Tribolium castaneum: one gene and its partners. The protein of the gene in region 1 binds, or shares a complex with, the protein of each later gene. Links are inferred from orthologs where the notes say so. Each region holds a gene or a part of one and is shown on either strand. Other genes may lie near its edges.

What was found.
Region 2: Wdr59 (region 1) and Nup44A share a complex: the UniProt entries of both Drosophila melanogaster proteins name them as parts of the GATOR complex. The link is inferred for Tribolium castaneum from reciprocal best matches to the Drosophila melanogaster genes Wdr59 and Nup44A.
Region 3: Wdr59 (region 1) and Nprl3 share a complex: the UniProt entries of both Drosophila melanogaster proteins name them as parts of the GATOR complex. The link is inferred for Tribolium castaneum from reciprocal best matches to the Drosophila melanogaster genes Wdr59 and Nprl3.
Region 4: Wdr59 (region 1) and mio share a complex: the UniProt entries of both Drosophila melanogaster proteins name them as parts of the GATOR complex. The link is inferred for Tribolium castaneum from reciprocal best matches to the Drosophila melanogaster genes Wdr59 and mio.
Region 5: Wdr59 (region 1) and Sec13 share a complex: the UniProt entries of both Drosophila melanogaster proteins name them as parts of the GATOR complex. The link is inferred for Tribolium castaneum from reciprocal best matches to the Drosophila melanogaster genes Wdr59 and Sec13.
Region 6: Wdr59 (region 1) and Nprl2 share a complex: the UniProt entries of both Drosophila melanogaster proteins name them as parts of the GATOR complex. The link is inferred for Tribolium castaneum from reciprocal best matches to the Drosophila melanogaster genes Wdr59 and Nprl2.

What each region holds. Positions count from the first base shown.
Region 1 is NC_087398.1:3,160,692-3,164,659, reverse strand, and holds the start of Wdr59 (GATOR2 complex protein WDR59), read left to right. Parts: upstream 1-1,168; 5' UTR 1,169-1,304; intron 1,305-1,353; 5' UTR 1,354-1,397; coding exon 1,398-1,504; intron 1,505-1,599; coding exon 1,600-1,735; intron 1,736-3,207; coding exon 3,208-3,907; intron 3,908-3,968. Other genes in the region: sicily (NADH dehydrogenase (ubiquinone) complex I, assembly factor 6), read right to left, coding at 30-378, 437-669, 742-973, 1,025-1,122. UniProt on the Drosophila melanogaster protein: A component of the GATOR complex, which functions as a regulator of the amino acid-sensing branch of the mTORC1 signaling pathway.
Region 2 is NC_087396.1:12,237,278-12,240,529, forward strand, and holds Nup44A (nucleoporin SEH1), read left to right. Parts: upstream 1-1,197; 5' UTR 1,198-1,342; coding exon 1,343-1,453; intron 1,454-1,497; coding exon 1,498-1,654; intron 1,655-1,701; coding exon 1,702-1,963; intron 1,964-2,009; coding exon 2,010-2,243; intron 2,244-2,293; coding exon 2,294-2,451; intron 2,452-2,502; coding exon 2,503-2,687; 3' UTR 2,688-2,752; downstream 2,753-3,252. Other genes in the region: mRpL13 (large ribosomal subunit protein uL13m), read right to left, coding at 307-540, 590-744, 793-916, 966-989. UniProt on the Drosophila melanogaster protein: Probable component of the nuclear pore complex (NPC). Involved in maintaining the localization of another nucleoporin Mgtor to the nuclear envelope of early meiotic female germline cells.
Region 3 is NC_087395.1:17,468,561-17,471,705, reverse strand, and holds the end of Nprl3 (GATOR complex protein NPRL3), read left to right. Parts: intron 1-1,328; coding exon 1,329-1,503; intron 1,504-1,553; coding exon 1,554-1,936; intron 1,937-1,990; coding exon 1,991-2,125; intron 2,126-2,177; coding exon 2,178-2,280; intron 2,281-2,326; coding exon 2,327-2,536; 3' UTR 2,537-2,645; downstream 2,646-3,145. UniProt on the Drosophila melanogaster protein: An essential component of the GATOR subcomplex GATOR1 which functions as an inhibitor of the amino acid-sensing branch of the TORC1 signaling pathway.
Region 4 is NC_087395.1:14,780,426-14,784,439, reverse strand, and holds the start of mio (GATOR2 complex protein MIOS-B), read left to right. Parts: upstream 1-1,214; 5' UTR 1,215-1,318; intron 1,319-1,368; 5' UTR 1,369-1,378; coding exon 1,379-1,490; intron 1,491-1,535; coding exon 1,536-2,048; intron 2,049-3,744; coding exon 3,745-3,937; intron 3,938-3,987; coding exon 3,988-4,014. UniProt on the Drosophila melanogaster protein: An essential component of the GATOR subcomplex GATOR2 which functions as an activator of the amino acid-sensing branch of the mTORC1 signaling pathway.
Region 5 is NC_087396.1:21,704,731-21,707,696, reverse strand, and holds Sec13 (protein SEC13 homolog), read right to left. Parts: upstream 1,526-2,966; 5' UTR 1,463-1,525; coding exon 536-1,462; 3' UTR 501-535; downstream 1-500. Other genes in the region: RpL29 (large ribosomal subunit protein eL29), read left to right, coding at 148-184, 237-301, 357-464; PolE1 (DNA polymerase epsilon catalytic subunit 1), read left to right, coding at 1,756-1,829, 1,875-1,998, 2,045-2,263, 2,310-2,536, 2,893-2,966. UniProt on the Drosophila melanogaster protein: Functions as a component of the nuclear pore complex (NPC) and the COPII coat. At the endoplasmic reticulum, SEC13 is involved in the biogenesis of COPII-coated vesicles.
Region 6 is NC_087399.1:8,014,952-8,019,120, forward strand, and holds Nprl2 (GATOR1 complex protein NPRL2), read left to right. Parts: upstream 1-1,369; 5' UTR 1,370-1,510; intron 1,511-1,568; 5' UTR 1,569-1,594; coding exon 1,595-1,732; intron 1,733-1,780; coding exon 1,781-1,872; intron 1,873-1,926; coding exon 1,927-2,527; intron 2,528-3,597; coding exon 3,598-3,951; 3' UTR 3,952-3,978; downstream 3,979-4,169. UniProt on the Drosophila melanogaster protein: An essential component of the GATOR subcomplex GATOR1 which functions as an inhibitor of the amino acid-sensing branch of the TORC1 signaling pathway.

The DNA of each region.
Region 1 (3,968 bases):
TAAAAGGGTCAATAAAAAACGTTTCACTTTTAATATTTATTTTTAAAATTGCTAAACCACATTTTGAACAACAAATTCCACGGTCTGGCCTTCAACTGTGGATGAAATATGTCATAATTCACATTTTCCAGTCTTTTTAAGAACGCAAACGTCGCCACCGCTGGCAACAAAACGCTCCGTCCTTCAGGTGGAACCTTTTCTTGTAAACTTCGTGCTTTCATCAAATGCTGATGAGCCCTGGTTGCTACTTCGTAAACACAGTCACTTAAAGGCTGCGACGATTTGTGCCGAAGCAATTCTTCTTGACTCACGTTATTTTTGACTAGAATTGATTGAGGCAGTGGCACAAAGTTTAAATTTTTACACTGTGGTATACACCTAAAAAATTAAGAACGCTGATGATATTTAATAAATAAATTATAAGTGGGACATTTACCGTAAATTTTGGACAATTCCTTGCGCTTTTCCTAAGTGAGAAGCTGCGTGATCTGCATTAATATTTCTTATATCGCACCCTTCCAGGATTAAGTAATACACACTTGAAACCGATCGTTCTGAGTACGTTTCCATATCCTCCAATTTATGAAAGGTGTTTAAGTTAAAATGTTCTTTCCGGGAGAGAATGAGGTTCTTTAGGTGGCGTTTAGATAATTTATTCCGGCTTATGGCCTAAAAAACAGCCGTAAAAATTGGCGCTTATAAGCGAACAGAGAATTCTTTTCTGAATTTCTTTTTAATTACGTTGAATAGTTCTATCGCGACTGGATGTCTGGGCACTTTGTCACAATTCCCCGAAAAGCATTTCTCTAAAGCGTCTTCCCAAAACTGCATCCTCATTAACCCCGTTTCTTTGGTTGAGACTTGCTCAGCCACACGAGCAACCTCAACGTTGAAACTCCTAACAGCGAATGCACATGATCTCGATTTGCCTTTTAATAGAAGTGTACTAAGAAAATTTTCGTAATCGTAACTCCTAAAATTGAAAAAACTTGGTAAACTGCAAGTGGTTCCCAACACGATTTACTTTACTAAATTCATGCAATAATTAGCGGTTGTCTGTGAGCTGCTATTTCTCACGCCGATGTTCTTCCGAGTCATACGAATCTGTTTGAGGAGATTCATTTCTTATAAAATTAATTTTTTTCATTGAAAAAAAAATGTTGGGTTAGGCGAACTTAACCTCACATTGCCACATGACACCAATAAATGACAGCTCAAAAAATAAATAATCCTCGAAAAGTGCATTTTCTATCAAATGTAAACATCAGATGTGACCCGCTATCGCCTGATTAACCCATTTTGTGGTATGCAGAGTGCCTAAGTCCATTTCTAATAACAGAGCGTGTCTTTTAGGGTGTAAATTAGTTTTGAAATAAGCATACAAATTGAGACACACCATGGCTGCGACCTGGAACAATGAGTATTACATCGCTTTGGAAGGAAGAGATTTGCAAGCAAATGCTATGGCTGTTGATAATTCAGGAACTTATGTTTTATTAGCAGGGTATGCCTCTTTCTAACGTCTAAATATGACATAAACCCGAACAATTGTAACATTATTCTTTGACCTGGTAGCATTTTTAATCTGTATTCCATTAGGCGGAGGTATATTGCAATAAGAAATTTAGATGAAGATCTGGAAGTTGTTCAAAAATTTCCAAGACAGAGCAAATATGATGTTGGAGCCGCTGAATGGAACCCTACTAATCACAACCGGGAGCTTTGTGTGATATCGGTAGGTTTTTTTAAAGCCAGAAAATGCTATCTTTTTGTTTTTGTTTTGTTTTGGGAGATTTTCCAGCCAGAAACGCAAGATTTTGTTAAATATACGCTGTAAAATCACCCAAATAGGTCAAAAGTCAAAATTTTTTAAATAAATTCTGGTCAAAAGTAATGTTATTCTGCTTTTCTTGAGCATTTAAGCACGTTTTATAGAGCTAAAGTGTCAGTTTTTTTCCGAATTTCCGCTAGAGGAGACTGAAAAATCACCTATTTAAATCCAAAATTATCAAATTTTTTTTGGCCAGAACATAATTATTTTGAAAAATCACCCACTTACATTAAAATGGGTTTTATTTTAGCCTTCGTCAAGTCTTTGTAGAGGTGAAAACTTAAGTTTTTTTTCGAAAAATTTACCTAACATTGGATGAAAAATAACCGATTAGATCGAAACTGATGTTATCTGGTCTTTAGCACAGTTTTTTTAGCCAGAAATGGAAATATTTGCAAAATTTTATTCAAATCAAACCGAAAATCAACAAAATTACACCCAAATTGAGTTTTTTCACTCAAAAAATTTCGCTAAAACTCTAGCTACAGCTGAAAAATCCCCAAATTTCTGTCAATTCAATGCGTTTTTGAGCTCGAAACTCATTTATTTTGTAAGAATTAGTCAAAAAAACGCTTCAAAATCTCAAAAATAAAATACAACTGATGTAACTTTGTTTCATTCGATTTCGTGTTTTTGGGCGAAATTTCGTCAAGAATAAGCTAAAAAATGACGAAATCTGGCCAAACAAAGGTTTTTCGTATTCTATTAAAGCTAAAACACGTTTTTAAATTTTTTACCTTAATAAACCGAGATGAAAAACTCATTTTTTTTTTATTTTGTGCATTTATATGCTTGTTTTGTTATACAGCAAAATTTAATCGCACATTAAAACTTATTATTTTGCATCAACCGAATAATTAATTAATTAAATTCGCAAAGAAACATTTTTTTTCTTCTCTCAAAGTGTCAAAACGTCACATAATAGATCTGAAAATTGTAGGAAAAAAATAAAAGAACAATTTTTGTAGATAATTGCATGATTTACAACTTTAATGTCTGACCTATTTATATGATAAGACTTACCGTTTACGAGAACAGTGCAAAAAAAAACAATACTTTTCAATTTTGATATTATAAAATTTTTAGCGCACGTAGGATGGGTGTGAATTTTTGATATTTTATTTATTATTATGTTGTACCAATTTTCTGCGAATTATTTATATATCAAAATGTTTTTTTTTGACCGGACTGTTATAATAACAACGAATAATAATGAGAAATATACACTAGTGTGTTGTAAACAGATTTTATTAACCATTTTTGCTGGTTGGAGTGACTTTATAAGAAAAAAACAACTTTTTTCATGAAAACATTGAAGTTTAATGAGCACTTTACAAATCTCCACGAATATGATAAGTTGTTGTACGTTTTCTTAGAGCAATCAGCGCTTGGAGGTCCTGACTTGGCGTTCGCAAGAGCTAATCCAGACCCACTCCCTCCGTGCCCACACTCGCGTCATAACCGACTTAAACTGGCACCGCAGCGACCCCAGCCTTCTGGCCTCCTGTTCCGTGGACACTTTCATCCACATCTGGGATTTGCGCGACGCTCGCCGTCCCTCACTATCCCTCTCTGCAATAGCAGAAGCCTCTCAAGTGCGATGGAACAAAATCTCATCGCATCTGCTTGCCACTGCACACGATGGCGATATCAAAATTTGGGATCAACGCAAAGGAACCGCTCCAGTCCAGTACGTGGCGGCGCATTTATCGAAAATCCACGGCCTGGACTGGAATCCCAACGTCGAGACGCAATTGGCGACGTCCAGTCAGGACAATACTGTGAAATTTTTCGATATGAATAATCCACGAAGGGCTGAGTATGTTCTGACGACGAATGCGCCCGTGTGGAGGGCGAGGTTTACGCCGTTTGGGAACGGGCTGGTGACGGTGGTGGTGCCGCAGCTGCGAAGGGGTGAAAATAGCTTGTTGCTGTGGAATACGGCCAATAGGTCCACTCCCATGCATACGTTTGTGGGGCACAGGGATGTGGTTTTGGAGTTTGAGTGGAGGAAGCAGAGGGCGGGGTCGTTGGATTTTCAATTAATTACGTGGTCGAAGGATCAGACGTTGTTAGGTAAGGGAATTTTTATAGGGCTCAAAAAGTCACCCACCAACTCAGTGACAGTTTGTACAAA
Region 2 (3,252 bases), on another chromosome or scaffold:
AATTACGGAGAAAACCAATCACTTTTGAATTTTTGATTCATTGAAAAATTATAGTTTTGGATATGATTGGTCCATTTAAGGTCGGCCATTAAAATAATGTGGGAAACCAATCACTTTCAATTTTCGGACTCATTCCATAATTTATTAATGGGAATTGTTCAATGGTTTATTGTTCTTAGTTTAAATTTAAAAAAGGCAGTCAATAAATATATCTACTTTGTTTTAAATGGTCTCAAAAAAAAATTAAAAAGCAAGATAAAATAATGTGACTATTTTATATTTGAAAACTATTTTCTTAACAAAAAATTATTTCAGAATGTAATCTTTCGGATAATCGATAAGTTTTGGAAATGATTTAACTTCTTCTTCAGTATAATGGTCTAGTCTCTTTGGCATTGGTCTAAGTTGTCTTATTTGATTAGAAACGTTTTTCATCAAATCTGCCGGTACATTTTCATCAGCAAAAAGATGCAGCCTCTCCATTGTGTGCCGTCTCTGCAAATTGCCGGCCATGCTTTTATAAACTGCTTTTTTGAGAATCTAAAAAAATGTTTACACTACTTGGTTCATAAGAGGAATGTTAATTAACTAATTTCGGGTCCTTGCTGTGTAATTCCCAAGCTAGGGTCCAAGACGCACCCCCAGGATAACCCGTGTGGTGAAAATAAGCCCGTTTCTTCCACTCTTCTTCAGGCATCGCGATCTCATTAGTGTTTATAACAATTACATGGTCACCACAATCATCTGAAACTGATATTGAGCAAAGAAACAACACCCGTTTGCCTTAATTACTCATTGGGTGGTAAATTGGTTTATATAAGCCCATTAAATACTTTTTTATCAGTTGCGCGGACTGAAATGGGTCCTGCCAAGCGGCATCGTACACATGCCATATCCTTGCAAAGGTGGCCCATTGCTACAATCCATAGACAATTTTATGCAATTTTACGACCAACTGTATTTACCTGAACCCTTTTTACCACAGACATGCTTGTTATTATTGTTACTTTTTTGTGACACTTTTTAGTGAGGTTGAGTTTTCATAACCTTACATTTGTTATGTAAGATCCAGCGTGCGGTCTAATAATCACGAAGCCGAAACAAAAAATTGTATTTTTAGTTGTTAAAACTTGATTGTTTTTGATAATTTTGCAAGTTCTAGACCTGTAAAAACTAGCTAAATAATTTCTGAGTAAAAAAGCTTGTGAAAATGATTATTTTTCACAATTTCGATAACTTGGAGATTCTACCGCAAAAACTCAGCGTTCTGCGCAAGTACTGACGCTTTGAACTTTAGGGGTTATGTTTAGATCAGTTTTGTTGATTATTCGTGAAATAAAAAATGTTTGAGGCCCAGGAAATTAATGCCGAACACAAGGACCTAATCCACGATGTTGCGTACGATTTTTACGGCCAAAGAATGGCCACTTGTTCCAGCGATCAATACGTTAAGGTTAGTTAGCAGTTGCGTTTTCAACTTATAAGGAAAAAAAGTAGGTTTGGGACCAAAACAGCGACGGCAAATGGACTTTAACATCAAGCTGGAAGGCCCACAGCGGCTCCGTTTGGAAAGTGACTTGGGCCCACCCCGAATTTGGCCAGGTTCTGGCCACTTGTTCCTTTGACCGAACTGCCGCAGTTTGGGAGGAAATTGGTACTTTCAGTAGTTTTTATCGAGTGTGTATTTAATGTGGGTTTAAGTTGGTGAGACTCCCGGGCCTGGGGAAAGAGGGACGAGGCATTGGGTCCGTCGGACAAATCTGGTCGATTCGAGGACTTCCGTTACTGATGTGAAATTCGGGCCACGGACGCAGGGTTTGCAGCTGGCGACCTGTTCAGCCGAGGGCATTATTCGGATTTATGAGGCGCCCGATGTTTTGAATTTGAGTCAATGGACTTTGCAGTTTGAAATCCAGTGCAAATTGCCGTGCAGTTGCCTAAGTTGGAATCCTAGTTTATCAAAGTATTTTTTGCAGAATTGTTAGACGGTTTGTAAATGGTGTTTTTAGGATGCATCCTCTGATGTTGGCGGTTGGAAGTGACGATCCAAATCCAGCCAATGGAGTCAAAGTTTTTATTTATGTTTACAGTGAGAGTTGCCGGAAGTGGACGAAAATGGATGCCATAACAAACATTACAGACCCCGTCTACGATCTCTCGTTTTCTCCTAATTTAGGCCGCAGTTTTCATGTTTTAGCCATTGCCACCAAAGATGTAAAAATCGTTAATTTACCTCACGTTTAGTAAGTTTTACATTTTTCGATTATTGTTTTTTCTAATCATTTTTTTGTAGCGACAACCCGAATTCGCAGAATGTTATTACAAAATTAGATGCACAAATTGTTGCCCAATTTGACGATCATGAATCCACCGTCTGGAGAGTCTGTTGGAATGTTACAGGAACTATTTTGGCTTCAAGTGGAGACGATGGTTGTGTCAGAATGTTTAAAAGTATGAACTAAATTGTAAGCTTATTTATCGTAAGAATAATTTTTTTTGCAGTGAATTACATTAACTCGTGGAAGCCAATAGCAGTATTAAGAGGTGATGGGTCACAAGTTTCTAATGAAGGTCAAAGATCATCAGTTTCTTCAACAGTAGGGCCGCAAATCCAAAGTGCGTCACAGACTGCTAGATATATTAAACTCGGTGCCATTTCTCAACCAAGAGACGTCCCTTGGCATTAATTTTTAAATCCGTAAAATGAGAACAAGATGTATTTCACAAAATACTGAATAAACTTTTATTTTAATATTTGTTTTTTATGTTTACCTGTTTCACAACTAATAATAAAAAGTAAAATACACAAAGTGATCAAGAATCAAATACTTCCAATAAGATTTTAAATTAATTAAATTGAATTTAAACTTCAAAAATCTCCTACGAACATTTTTTGAACAAACAAAACCTTGGTAAGATGATCGATTCATTGTAGTAAAAATACTTAAAAAATCAAAACCAAATAATAATTTTGCGGTTTTGTCCTAAAGTTATTGATCATTCTTTTAAATTTTGTATTTTTGGCTCTCGAGGAGGGATAATAAAAAAAACACCAATAAATAACATGAGCCCTGTTTTTAAAACTACAGTATTTACCTATCCCGTGATCCCCTTTGCGCTTTTGAATATGCTGGGGACACTTTCCCCCGACTTTTCGCCTTTTTCGTTGGATTTTGTAGAAATAACATCAATTAGAAATGTCAAATTGTAAAAGTGCGCGCGCATGCGCTTTGATTTTCAACATGTCATTTC
Region 3 (3,145 bases), on another chromosome or scaffold:
AGTTTTTGAACAATTGATTTATTCCGTGATACTTGTATACATTTAGAACAAAATGTTCTAAACAAATGTTCTAAACTTTCAATGTGAATATAATGACATGGTTTAATAATTTATTAAGGGTTCCCATTTTACACCCAATGATCAATAGTTTATTGATGGGTATTGTGTCTGATTGACACTTAGAACATTTGGTAGAATTAAATTTTTTTTTGTAAAATCTATGTTCTAAATTGGAACGTTATTTTCACATAGAAACCAAATAATAATGGAAAATGTACAACAAGCATATCTTAAAAAAAATAAAAATGGATTTTTATTATTATTATGGTGGATGTGCCGGGTTAATTTTTCCACAAATTTAATATAAATGATGTATATGCCAGAAAATCTGTAATAATTTGTTATAATAATTGATTCTTTTTAAACGAGCTACGCTTTTACTTCAAATATGTTAAAAAAAATAAAGAAATATATTCAAAATAGTGCTTTTACTTAAAATTTTGCAAGTAAATGCTCTAAAATGTATAAGTAAAAATGGAAGTACATATAAGCTTTTACTGAAAGTAAAGCATTTTTTAGCAATTATTTGCTTTAAAGTCGAGAATATTCTCAAAACAAAGTGAATAAAATAAAGCAAATGCTTTTTTCATTAAGCATTTACTTCAAAATTGTTGTTACCTTCGGTAAAAGCTTATACAGAATGGAATTTTTAACTGGAATAAAATTCTTTGATTTAGCCGATTTTAGTGAAAATTCCCGTAACAGGTCAATTTTTATTTTTCCTTGCCTACTGTTTCATGTATATGGTTTTTGTTTATTTGTTGTCAGAAATGCACAGCCACCTCTAGCTTTAGGCGTAGGCTTTGGATATATTCGTTACATTTGTGTAACGTTAAAAGTGGCTGGGCATTTTTGAAAACAGATAAACAAAAACAAAAACTGATGTGCAAAAAAAAACAAAAAACAAAAAAATCGCTTATATCCAAGTTACAAATTTTATTTTAGTTAATAATTCCATACTGCTTTAATTTTTTATAACTTGGGCATTGACAATATTTAGAAAACAAATAGTGCGTTTTACTGCTTTCGAACCATGTTCACTAAATGAGGGGAAAGGAAAAACAAAAAGCGATCTGTTTCTGTTTTTTTTTACAAAAATTGCCTATATTCAGGTTATGAATTTTATTACAGTTTAATAGTATTCTTTCTAAAATAAGTCACTAGACCTGGAAACCTTAAGGACACAAATAAACTATTCAATGTTGCCAACATAAATAAATAAATTCAAAGCGAGCCGCGTGTCCAGTGCCTTATTCTCTACTATGTAGGTGTTTGAAGGCTTTACGCCCTTACCACAGTTTATTATTACTGCACCCCATCCAGCAAATGGCCGATTTCACTGGACTGGATGGCTCCCCATCCTTAGAACGAATGCTAAAGCAATATTCTCCAATAAAAAACTTGCAAACTTTAGCAGCCGACGCCGACTTGACCCTCCACCATGTAAACGGCGTCCCACATCGCCAATTAAATAAATAAATAAATAATTTCAGGTTTTTGAGCTCACAGCTCATTTAGTTTACTGGGCTAAAGCTACAGTTATATTCCCCATTTGCTTGACTAACAAATATGTGATAGCTCCAGACGCCCCCATTCATCTGAATTCACCTCTGATTGACAAATTCTCAGAGGCTTTCCCCACAGCGAATTTAATTCGTGTGATTAGCGATTTCGCGCTACCGACCTCTTTGGGCCAGAAGTGCAACCCGTTGTGCCATCCGGCCCAACAGTCTCATTTAGTACAGACTATTATCTGGATGTTGCAACACCATCTACTGTTGCAACTGCACACTTATGTGCAGTATATGCCAACAGATCACGGGTTGGCAGTGCCCAGGGAAAAGGACGAACGGATCGTTTCACAAAGAAACATAGGGTATTGTAAATCAAGTTGGCGTCATTATTGGTTGCGTCATTTATTTGTGCTTAGAAATGTATTGTCCTCGAGCTCGTATCACCCGAGTACGTCCGAGCACTCGCGAGCCGAGTCCGAAAGCGGCACGTCGACGGTGTCGGAAACGCCCGAGCTTCGCAGCGAATCAGATTTGATCAACCGCAGTATAAAGTCGTGTTGTGTTTGAAATTTGGGTGTTTTTTTAAAGTTTGCGTTATTTTAGTCTCGAAAATGTGAGTTTTACGTCGGTTGAGGACGAAAAACAGGATTATCAGGAGGAGTTGCTGTTGGATTTTCCTGATGAGGAACGCGGGAATATTTTTAAAGTAGGTGTAGTTACTGTTGTAACTATTACAAAAAAAGTTTGTTTAGATACCGGCAACTAATAATCCAGAGGATTTGCGATTGTTTGCCCGATTGTGTCGCAAAGGTTATTTTCATGGGAATCACCACATTGAGGAGATAATGTATTTGGAGAACTTACGGCGCAGTCAGTTGTTGCAGCTCTTGGATAAGTTTAGGGATGTTTTGATTACGTACGAAACGGAGGATCCGGCTATAGCTATGTTTTCATACACGTGAGCGTGTTGACTATTATTCATTGTTTTCACTAATTATTTTATTACAACTGTTACAATCTTCGTATTTTTGTAGTTAATTTTTTACTGGTTGAATAAAGAAATTACAAGTTTGTGGTTGTCTATTAAATAATAAAATACAGAATTTTCAGTACAGTATAGATTAGTGAATCTTTAACACATTTTTTACCTCTACTGAGATCATTTTTCCTCTGTGCCTTATGTATAGTTTTTTTTTTTAGTTTCCAAAATTAAAGGATTTGTAATTAACAAGGTTTAATTTTGATATTACATCTCAAAACATGGATAACTATTTTATTTATTCTTCACAGGTGTTTGAGGGTATTCATAAAAATATTTCTTTGCTGTGTACAACGGTTAAATCCTTTAAATTACGCATTTTTTGTTGAGGAAGTACTGGAAAGATCTTCAACCGTGTCTTGAGTATTCTCCGCATTAGTGTTATTGTTGGTCTGAACCTCGGTCTGATGAGATCTTTGTTGCTTAACAAAAAATATTTGTATATTGAAGGACCGGTTTATAGAAAGCGCCATTAAATTTTAATTTGTTGTTAAAAGTTAACAACGCGAATGAACCAATCAAGTTGGTTCAA
Region 4 (4,014 bases), on another chromosome or scaffold:
GATATTTCAAGGAACGGTAAATACTCATGTGTACAAATTTTATTTATACAACTCATTTTGGAAGCGGTGTTTTTTACCCAATTAAAAATAGTACTTAGTTAAAACTGTACTTAGAGTTAACGATTTTTAATAAACTGCAACAATTAATCAACACAAACGCACATACACAAGACGTATCCATAAAACACTCAGTTTGTAGTTTATTTAGCCAACAAGTTTGACAATCGTCGATTAGTCGCCGATTAGCAAACGATTAAACGAAAAGTAAATTTAGGGTACTTCTAGCATCAAGGAAATAATTTACTTTTTCAACTTAATTCACTCATTAGAAATAAATGCATTCACGCACGTTAAAAAAATTTCGATTAATTTGGTGCCTTCACCGATTATGACCACCAAAACTCCGTTTTGATAAATAAAAGCCAAGCCAATGAGTCATTTTTAATATTTGATTAATAGAGATTGTAATGTTATTTACTTAAAGTTGTATATTATATTTTAAGATGTTGTTTGTTTGAAAATACAGTTTTTGTGATCTGATTTTAAGTTGTTAAATAATAGATCTGAAATCAAGAGATGTTAGCTGTTGATTACGAAGTGATGAATGTATAACAAAAATTAATAAAGCTTTAGAACGTGTGATTGTTTCGTTGTTTATGCCCAGAAATAAAAAATGATTCTCCCAATTTCAATTTTTTGGTGATTAATGGAAATCTTATTGTTTCTTATCGCCCATTTGTTTGTCCAATTATCTCTTACATAAATAGTGATTTATTGTAAGAACATGGAAATTGGCTTAGTTGTTGGTTTCTTCTACTGTTGAAGTCGACAAACTGAAAATGTTCAGCATGTAAGTATGAAGACAACAAAAATATAAAAGTACAAATGTTCGGTATTATTAAAAATTCAAGTAATATTCATTTTATGAGTGCACTTGTTGGTGTACGTTGCCGATAACAATTTAAACGACTCAAAATACAATCGTTTTATTAATTTTTTATAAAAATCACAGTTTATTTCTCCCCAACCCCAATTTTATTAATTAAAGAAAGAAATCAGAAGTAGAACAGACAACTAGGAGGGCACCTTTAACACACATCGTGTTTTTATCAAATGTAACCCTTTTTAAAGTAAAAAATTAAGGAATTTGCCCTGTTTCTCAAAATTACTCTTTAAAAAAAAAGGATTTTAAAGGTAGATTTGATTCAAAGTTTTCGCTCGCGCCGTGGAATGGCAGTGGCACCAACGCGAAGAACCAAAAGAAAACAAAAACATGACCGTAACCTCAAAGCCAAAATACATCGCAAATTCGCCAATTGTTAACCCGTTGCCTTTTTACTTATTCTAAGTATTTAATTACCGTTTTAGCTTCCATAAAATGTCCTCGAAACTGGAAATCCAGTGGACCCCCATCACCAACAAATTTATCACGTGGGGTTCCGAAATTTGCTTGTACGAGGTGCACCAAGACCGCGATAACGTTTTGCAAAGTATTAACTCATGGCCATGATCCCAATCTTACGAAAAACTTGCAGATATTAAGCTATCAAGCACGACTTCCGCCAATTTACTGGCGACAAACACCAACCACCACTACGTTAAATGCCTGGATGTTTACCCAAAATCCGATGCCGATTTGTTGCTAGCTGTGGGTTTATCAAATGGACGAATATCACTGTCGACATTCGGCCCCACGGAGTATGACGCCTTGGGGTTGACTGGGAAAGAACTGGTGCCGAGACATGCAAGGCAGTGTAATGCCGTGTGCTGGAACACAATTGAGACTAGTTGGGTGGCTGCCGGGTTAGACAAGTACAGAGCGGACAATTCCGTTCTCATTTGGGACATTATGAAGTCGTCCCAAAACAACGAAAGCAATTCGGGAAGGATGGCGGTTAACACCATGGCCCCAGGGGTGGAGCTCGCAAAACCCATAGCCGAATTTGGGGTTTCCGAAACCGCCCACAGCATGGCCTGGTTCAGCAGCAACAGCAAGGTGATTGCTGTCGGGATGAACTTGAAAAATATCAAGTTTGTCGACATCAGAGGTATTCTTAGTCTTTTTCTTTCTCAATTATTGTGTCTCACAATTTCTTAAATGTCTTTCCATTTGTGAAATATCAAAATCATGTGTTAATTGATATTCCCTTTCTTTTCCAGTTAATTTAGTCGATTTGGATGAATTCTTTTTATGTAAACAAAGGCCATATTTTTTCGTTAATCTAATTAAAAATAAATATATTTGGAACAATAAAGCGTAACATACATTATATTATGTGGATATTTCTTACAATCTTGCAAGTATGTGTCCATATTTATGTTCAACATAATAATAATAATAATAATAATAATAATAATAACAGACCTTTATTAAAGAAAAATGGGGGCGAAGTCTAGTCAAAGACTATTCACCTCAACTCCCCAAAAAAAGAATTATAAAGATATATAAAAAAATATCAAACAATAAGAAAAATAAAACAAGTAATATAAATAACTTCAGAAAGGTACAAATAGAAAACTTAAAACTAAAAAAGAAGCAATAGAGTAAATATGGAAATGGAAACGTAGCATGCGATGATGAACACCATAATTAACCATGGAGAGCAAGAAATCTTTGTAGAGTGTACGAAATTTATTCACCGAAACATTCAACTGAAAGAGTACAGTGGAGTTAAAAACTTTAACACCATTATAAGTTAGCGAGCGTTGAAAGATGGATGAACTAAACTGAGGCATAGAGATTTGTGTATTATGATGAATGTTGACATTGTGAATGCTATTTCTAAATCTAAATTTTTTCTAAGGTAGAATGGAGACGAAGTTGTCATAAGTTTAAACATAAGTGTACCCAATTGGTGTCGATACATATTTTCAACTTTCAACCAACGTAGGTCGAGTATTTTAGACAAAACATGATCGTATTTGTTCAAACCAAAAATGAACCTACAACAACTATTTTGGATTTTCTGTAATTTGTACTTTGTGATATTATCTAAGCAGGGATAGTATAAGATTAAGCAATATTTCATAAATGACATAACTAAGGTTTCTGTTAACTTTTTACGTAATTTGAAATTCAAAATTAAATAGTTCGCGTATAATAACTTAAGAGCAGAATATGATTTTTTAGGACCATATTAACATGAGATTTAAAACGACAATTTTCCGGACACTGAGGTTTTTATTTTACTGAACATCACACAACAATATTACTCCTATGTTCAATTTTTTTCTTTCTTTCACATATACTTCTGTTACATTCGACTGCATAATAAAACGAACTTCAAAGGTATAAGGTATATTTCTTCTCGCGGGGACGAATAAAATTATTTTAACTGAATAATGAAAATTCTACAAAACTGTTGACTTTAGACAATGAAACCTGGGTCTTTTTGAACATCGCATAGTTTTTTTTGTCGATGCTCAGCACTTCTTTTGGCAGTGTTTTGAGTTCTTCTGTATGTTGAATAAATTTTCGTGTTTGGCAAAACATTGAATTGTTGTCCCAAATTATTTGCCATTGAATCATTTATTCATCAAATTGATTATTAAACCACGTACTTCGTTGCTTATTACACCAATTGTAAACCATTACCACAACGTAGTAAAATAAATGGGAAAATCATTTAAGAAATTGTGAAAAAAAGGAAGAAAACTAAAAGAAAAAAACTACGTGAGTCTAAATAAGAACACTTTTATTTTGACTCACGCTGTGGTCGAAGATTATTCAATAGTTACTTGTAGATCCTAACAAAATCACAAATTCTACGCTAACCAAGGCCGTTTTTGGCGTTTGCATGGACCCGAACGACGACCGGCATTTGGCGTCATTTTTCGAGAATAATATTTACGTTTGGGATACGAGAAATTTCGAAAAACCCATCCTGACGCTGCACCAGAACAAGCCTGTGATCAAAATTGCCTGGTGCCCCACAAAGTACATTCCCAATCGTGCATAAAATTCGAAATTTTTGTTTATTTCCTTAGGTACAATCTTTTGGGGTCTTTGCAAAA
Region 5 (2,966 bases), on another chromosome or scaffold:
AACCAAAAGTGAGGTTATTACACGAGACCACCAACCTAACAAATCTAAAATTCTCCAGAATCTGTGACAACGTGGTCGGCCATAACCTTTCTTTTTCCAACCATCTTGGAAGCTTGTTCGTGGAGTTAATTTCCCAATTTTCAAGACATGGCCAAGTCAAAGAACCACACCAATCACAACCAAAGTAAGTTTAGTGTCCGTTTTTTGTAATTTTGCAAAATTTTCGAGTTTTATAGACCGTAAGGCCCACCGTAACGGTATTAAAAAACCGAAGCAGTTCCGTCACGAATCAACCCTTGGTGTGAGTAAAAATGCAAAAAATACTCGTTTGGTGTGAATTTATAAGTGTCTTTCAGATGGACTCTAAGTTTTTGAAGAACCAGAGGTTCTCAAAGAGGCACAACTTGAGCACCGCCAAACAACGCCAACGTGCGCAGGAACGCAAGGCCAAAGCCAAGAAATAATTTAAGTTTTTTGTAATATGTTTACTCAATAAACAGTTCCACTTAAATTACGTTTTATTTAAAAAATACACCTATTGGTTATTGATCTGTCCCTGGCCCTTAACCACATCACTGACGCACTGCCAATTCCCTTGCAAGTTTTGCTTCCAAAGCGTGATTTTGTTATCACCCCCTGACACGGCCAGAATATTCCCGTTCAGGGACCAACTGACATTCCAGACAACATCGTCAAAAGTCTGGAGGACCGTTGAGTTCCAGTTGTTGCCATCGTCACTCGTCCAGATGATGACCCTCCTGTCTTGCGAGCAGCTCGCGATGGTGTGCTGGTGCAGCCCCACCGAGGGGGCCCACGCCACGTCCCGCACCCAGTCCGAGTGCACCTCCAACTTGTTCTCCTCCACCCACCGGTCCTCCTCCTCCCGCCACACTTTGACCAGATTATCGCAGCCCCCGGACACCAGCCGCTTGACCAGCTTGGCCGCGTCCCGGAACTCCCCCGACGTGGGGGTGATGGCGGGGGCCCAGCTCACGGCATTGCAGCCGATGGCGTGGGCGTTTTGGATCTTCTTCGCGTCCCAGTTGTGCGTCTCTGAGATGTAGCTCAGGATGGAGATCGAGCCGTCGCTGCTGCCGCAGGCCAGCACGAGCCCGTACTCAGGCGGGGCGAACTGCACCGAGTTCACGCTGGAATCGTGGTTGGCGTACTCGTAGTACTTGGTGAACTTCCCGTTCTGCTCCTTCCAGATTATGACCTTGCGGTCGTACGAGCAGGAGGCGAGGAGGTTCCCGAACTTGGGGTGGCTCCAGGCGATCTGCCACACGGGCCCGAAGTGGCCCTTGAGGTCGTCGATCAGGGCTGTGCCCCCGTTCTTGATGTCGTACACTTTGACGCTGTTGTCCGACGAGCACGTGGCCAGGCGCAGCCCGTAGTAGTCCACTTCGGCGTCGTGCACCATGTCCTCGTGCCCCGTGTCGATAGAATTCAAAATTGAGACCATTTTCCCAGTTTAAAACTACCAGAAATTGGAACAGACGTGGCTTGACATTTGACACACGGTTACCAACCGACTCACGTCGCCTCTAATTCGTTCAGTTTTGGCCGATTTGGGGCCCAAATTATCAATCAGATACAAATTCTGGGTTAAAGAGTGGCGACTCGGCCAAAACTACGTGATAAATAGCCCAAAGAAAAAGGTTATGTTGATGTTTGAAAAAACCTGACCCGAAATTCCCCTAGTGTCAAAATGAGCGCGAAAGTCATGTTGTTTTGTCAACAGGTTAGTCTGCAATAATGGATGAAATTAACGAAAAGTTCCGGCCCCAGCGGGACCCCAAGTTGGCAAAAAAGCCCACGGACTTCTCACGGTACGTGCCAGGGACATTCACCCGTTTTTAAGTATTTTGCCTTAGAGAGGAAACCTCGGAGGTGAGACTCCGCCAAGTGATTGAAAATGACGCGATTGACGCAAAATACGGCTTCGAGCGGGTGCGGGATAACTTAGAAAGGACCGGATTTTTGTTAAACATGCACGCGGTAACGTGGTTATGGACCAGGGGCTGGCTTGATAATGTCTGAGTAGAGTGAGATTTTAGATGAGGATAAGAGGTTGGTGGCGGCTGTTGACTTCTATTTCATGGAAGAGGACGGCGCCCGCTTTAAAGTGTCGTACTGTTACATGCCTTATTTTTACATTCTTACGAAAATTGAGCTCATTCAAGAAGTGAGCCAGTTCCTTACGAAAAAATTCTCGGGGACAATTGGCAAAATTGAAGTTGTCACAAAGGAGGATTTGGATTTGGTAGAGCGAGCAATTGTTGTTGCTAAACTTATGAGCGATTTTTCAGCCAAATCATTTGATTGGTTTGCAACAGAAGTACATAAAATTGTCGTTTTTCAACCAAACTGATTTAATTAAAGTCAGGAAGGAGATACTCAAAGTTGTGAAAAAGAACAAAGAGAGGGAAAGCTCAAACACCTATTACACCGAAATGTTGACGGACATTTTAGCAGACAAGGCGGCCCAAACCACCAAGACTAACACCGATCAGATGGAAAATATTCTCGATATTCGGTAAAGGACCCAAGTAACAATTTAAATGCTGATTAGATCTAGTATTACGGTTTTGTAAAAGTTTCATGAAGGTGGATAAGTGTAGATAAGTTGCTTGTCTACAGCCAAATACTCCCACAGATCGCAAATTTCTAATAGATGTTCTTTAGAATGCTTTAAAACTATTGAGAGTTAATATTCTTATAAATAATTTTAAATAGAAGATACAGTTTTATACATAGAGCAGCTATATTTTACTGCTGTTTCAGTTGAAATAAAAAAATATGCACTTTTTAAAGCTTAAAGAAATGGTGATAATTAAAAAAAATTAAAAGTTTTTATTTGGGCTCCCAAAACAAGTAACAAATTTTTTGTAGCGAGTATGACGTCCCCTACCACGTGCGTGTCTCAATCGACTTGAAAATCTTCTGCGGTTTATGGTACACGGTCA
Region 6 (4,169 bases), on another chromosome or scaffold:
TGTGAGAGTAGTGAGCTAAATGGGGGGAACTGTGGACTTACCTTAACTGCGACGATAAATATCACACACACTTGCACGTTTTTTTAATAAATCGGGTCATTTTATTTTGTAATTTGGTAAACAAAAACAATAAATGGTCATTGAACGAAACGCGGGAAATGTCTGAGTGACGGTGCTACCAACCTGTAGGTGTAACAATTTGAGCAACTTCTGAAATTAAAAATTTGTCGGGAAAAAAGGATTGTTTTTTGAAATAGCCTTGCAGGACGTTGTAAAGTGTTTGATTATTTTACAAGTGGAAAAACTATTGTGTTTAAAAAATATTTGGGAATTAGATTAACTAGACACCCCCTGGTGATGACATTTCATACTATTCGAAAACAATAACGAAATTTTCTTAATTCCTTATTTAAATTCCGACTTTAGTATGCGCTTTAGCTTTGTTCATGCGGTTATTCGTGATTAAAATTGTAATTTGTTGGAATTTGAAAATGGACAAAACGTGAAAAAGATTTAATTTTTGGTTACAAAGTGTTACTAAAGCAATTACACTGAAAAAATTGTATTGTATAATACTTCTGAAAATCTACAAAACCGTAATTGAGATTAAGTACTGCAATGAAATATTAATTTAAAAAATGGTCGTATAATGTTTAACATAGCAAACAAAGAAAAAATATACAGATAAAGCATTAAATTCTTAACAGTAAGACATAAACAACATGCAAATGTTTTGTCGTAAAATATATTTTTTTGTTGGTAATATTTTATGCCGCATACGCTCGTTACATAACAACAGTCCTCGGATTTTAAGCTTGTGTTTTTGCACTCGTATTATTTACAAAAAATATTTTTTTACAAATTTCTTCCTAACATTTTGCTTGTCTCATTAACCGTATTTGCAGCGTCTTGAAAAATATGTAGCGAAGCGCAAATTTTTTTATGTTAAGTATTTTTTTGTCATTATTCTTATAAGAATTTGAGTTGGCAGTTTTTTTCAGTCTGTTAAAAGTGCGAAGCTCAACATTTCTGCATTTTTTTCCAAGGAAATGATGAATTGGATTTAAATTAATTTTAAACAATTTGGCGCCGAGAGGTATAACGCTCAAAGCGCCCTCATTTTTTTTCTACCGTACTATTTCTTTGGGTTCAAAAAATCCAGCGATTTTGTATTTCGTTTCGTTTCCTAAGTTATAGCCCTCCTTAATTTAACCATAAATTGTTGCAAAAGGTAGGTTTTTCAATGTTTTTGTAATAAGTTTTCGAAAAAGTAAGTGAACAAACAGTTTATTTCTGTTTTTTTTTTGCGTTATCTTTTATTTGTGAACATGTATTCTTTGTACCAATGATACAATAGTCAGTCCACATAGACAATGCAATTAGCCACAAAATTTGTACAATGCTCTATAAATATCCGAATTAACTTTTACCGCCATTTAAATTCAGTAGTGGCGCCGTACAGAAACCTGTAATTGGATTCTTGTTCAATGTGGATGTTTATTTATTCCAGGTTTTAAAATAAATTTTTACCAAAAAAAGCTTTACCGGGCTAATTCCGCAATTTTCAGATCTATGGAATTATATTTCACGTCAAATGTTACGAAACGTACAAAACATGGAAAATACAGGTTATGTCCTGAACAACTTTGATCACACAAGTCAGGAGGGCCCCATTCGGTGCATTTTTTTCTGTGAATTTCATCCAACAGCCGGGCCTATCATTTCGTGTCAAGTAAACATTAAAAAAAAAATGTTACGTGATTTTGCAAGTGTGTTCCAGGAACCAGAGCAGTACATTTCAAAGGAACTATTCGACAGTATTAGCGTTTACATAATCACGAAAGCGGAGTTACAGAAGAGTACAATCACTGTGTAAAAAACCGAAGCGAAATCGATGAATTAATTGCTTGTTGATTTTAATTTTAGTACTCTATCGGATTATAAAATATTGGGGTTCCCGGTCCGCATTGACGACAAAAAATATCCCCGGAACGCCTACCACTTCAATCTATGCCTAGTGTGTGACAGTAACGTCCGAACCGTTCATTACGAACCCGTCGTTATAAAACTATCAGACTACCTAATGGCAATGGAAATTGAAAGCAGTTTTTTATCGGACGGTAAAGCAGCAACGAAACTCGCCCCAATTTTGAAGCAAGTTATCGAGGAATTGAACACGAAGGGGGAGTGCGCCCTCACGGAGGGCCCCACCGCCACCCATCTCAAGGTCGTGCACGTTCGCAGCGACCCGGCCCCCGTGGCCGACCACCAGGTCCCTGTCTTCATCAAGCCCCTCCCGGACCAGCAGTGGGACTTGACCACGCAACAAGTGGCCCCCTACATTGACGGCTTCAATCACGTGGCCCGAATCGCGGCCCTCTCCGATGTCGAAAATAATTTGGTCAAGGCTTGTGTCCAAAACCTCGTCTATTACGGAGTCGTTGCTTTAGTGCCTTTGTTCCAATACGGGAATGTTTATTGCACGACGCCGCAGTTAAATATTCTGGCTCACGATGTCAATTTACAAGTAATAACAATAACAACTCATTAAGGTTGAAGGGGAACACGTTTCACTGTGTTTCTAGGCCGTCAGATGGCGCGGAATTAATTTTTTATTATCGAAATCGAAAAAAGTTTTGATCACAGAATCGTAATTAAATTTGCGCTAACGTATTAGTTTTTTATTTTTTGACGTATTTAAAAAAAAATTCATGAATTTTTAAAATAAAAAATATTTTGTAAAACCAAGGTAGGACGACGAATATTTGCTGAAAATTTAACTCCAATATCTAGAAGTCATTTAGTAAAGATTAGTTTTGTCTGCCTATTATTCATTTTCCTTCAGATGATATGCAAAACTTCTAGAAGTATAGGTTTTTTCTGTATCTCTATGCACTCGATTTTTGTTTCTACACTTTCTTATATTAATTATTATCAATGAATTGAAAATATTAATAGTTGTATTAATAAAATTAAAAATATGGAAACATTAACTAACCAAACTGTCGTTCTAAAAAAAATTAAAAGAAGTTCAGGTACGTACGAGTAAAAAATTACTTACTAGCAAACGCTGAATTCTGGATATTATACGAGTAGTTTTTATTTGTTTCGTCGATTAATTTAGTCCCTTTCAGTTTTTTTGTTAAGCTTTTTCTAGGAATGGGAAGCAGGTGTACAGTCACTATCAAAAAGAGTAACACCCCTAAAATCGCTGTCATAATTATTTCGATATGATATGACATTACTTGCAGTCCGCTCAGCTTTTTCAATCTCCCATTATTAGAAATCTTCATTACAATTTTTTTTACCAAAAATAGTCAAATTAAATTTTAACCTATTTTATAATTATTATATATTTCATTAAAATTTTAAACAAAAAATGCCATTTTTTTTTCAAAAAAGTGTTACGTTGGCACAAATTCTAATTCTTTAATAAACTGAATTCAACTTTTTGATTTAAAATTGGATTACAAAAATCGCCAAAAACAGCAAAATCATTTTCATTATACTTGTCTTTATCGCACACTTGATTTAACTCTGTGTCCCCTTTAGCCTTAATTATTTATAACTAGCAGCGAAAGAATAACTCGTTTTTAGAACAAATGTTTGAAGTATGTGGCGGTGTCCCAAAGACAGTTACCCAATTTTCGCGACGTTTTTCGCATGTTTGCCGCCATGACAAGGGGCACGACCATGCGGGACTTGTGCCTGAGATTTAATCCAGCTAATTTGCGAATAAACGAAAGGAAATTGGTACAGATTGGAGTGTTGGAAGGTCTGATTCGACGGGTTCATAAGTATCCGATTTTGTTGAGTGATACTTCTGAATTACAAAAATCGCTCTCGGGGGCGGCTAATTTGGATGAGATTTGCTGCGCCACTGGCGTTGCCACGCAACAACTCGAGGACCAGCTGGAGAGAGACCACAATATCGTCCTGTTGTGGAAATGACTGTGATAATAAAGATTTGCTTAAAAATGATTTGTTTCCGTAGCTACTGTTGCTTTATTTCCATGGTTACGATTGAGTATCCATGACAATCAAATCGTTTAAACGTTGACGTTTTTATCATTTAATAAAAAAAAACTATAAACCTATAAATAATGCTGCCATCAAGCATTCAAATTTTCATACAATTTCATTGTACCAAATTTTTTATTGCAAGTTAA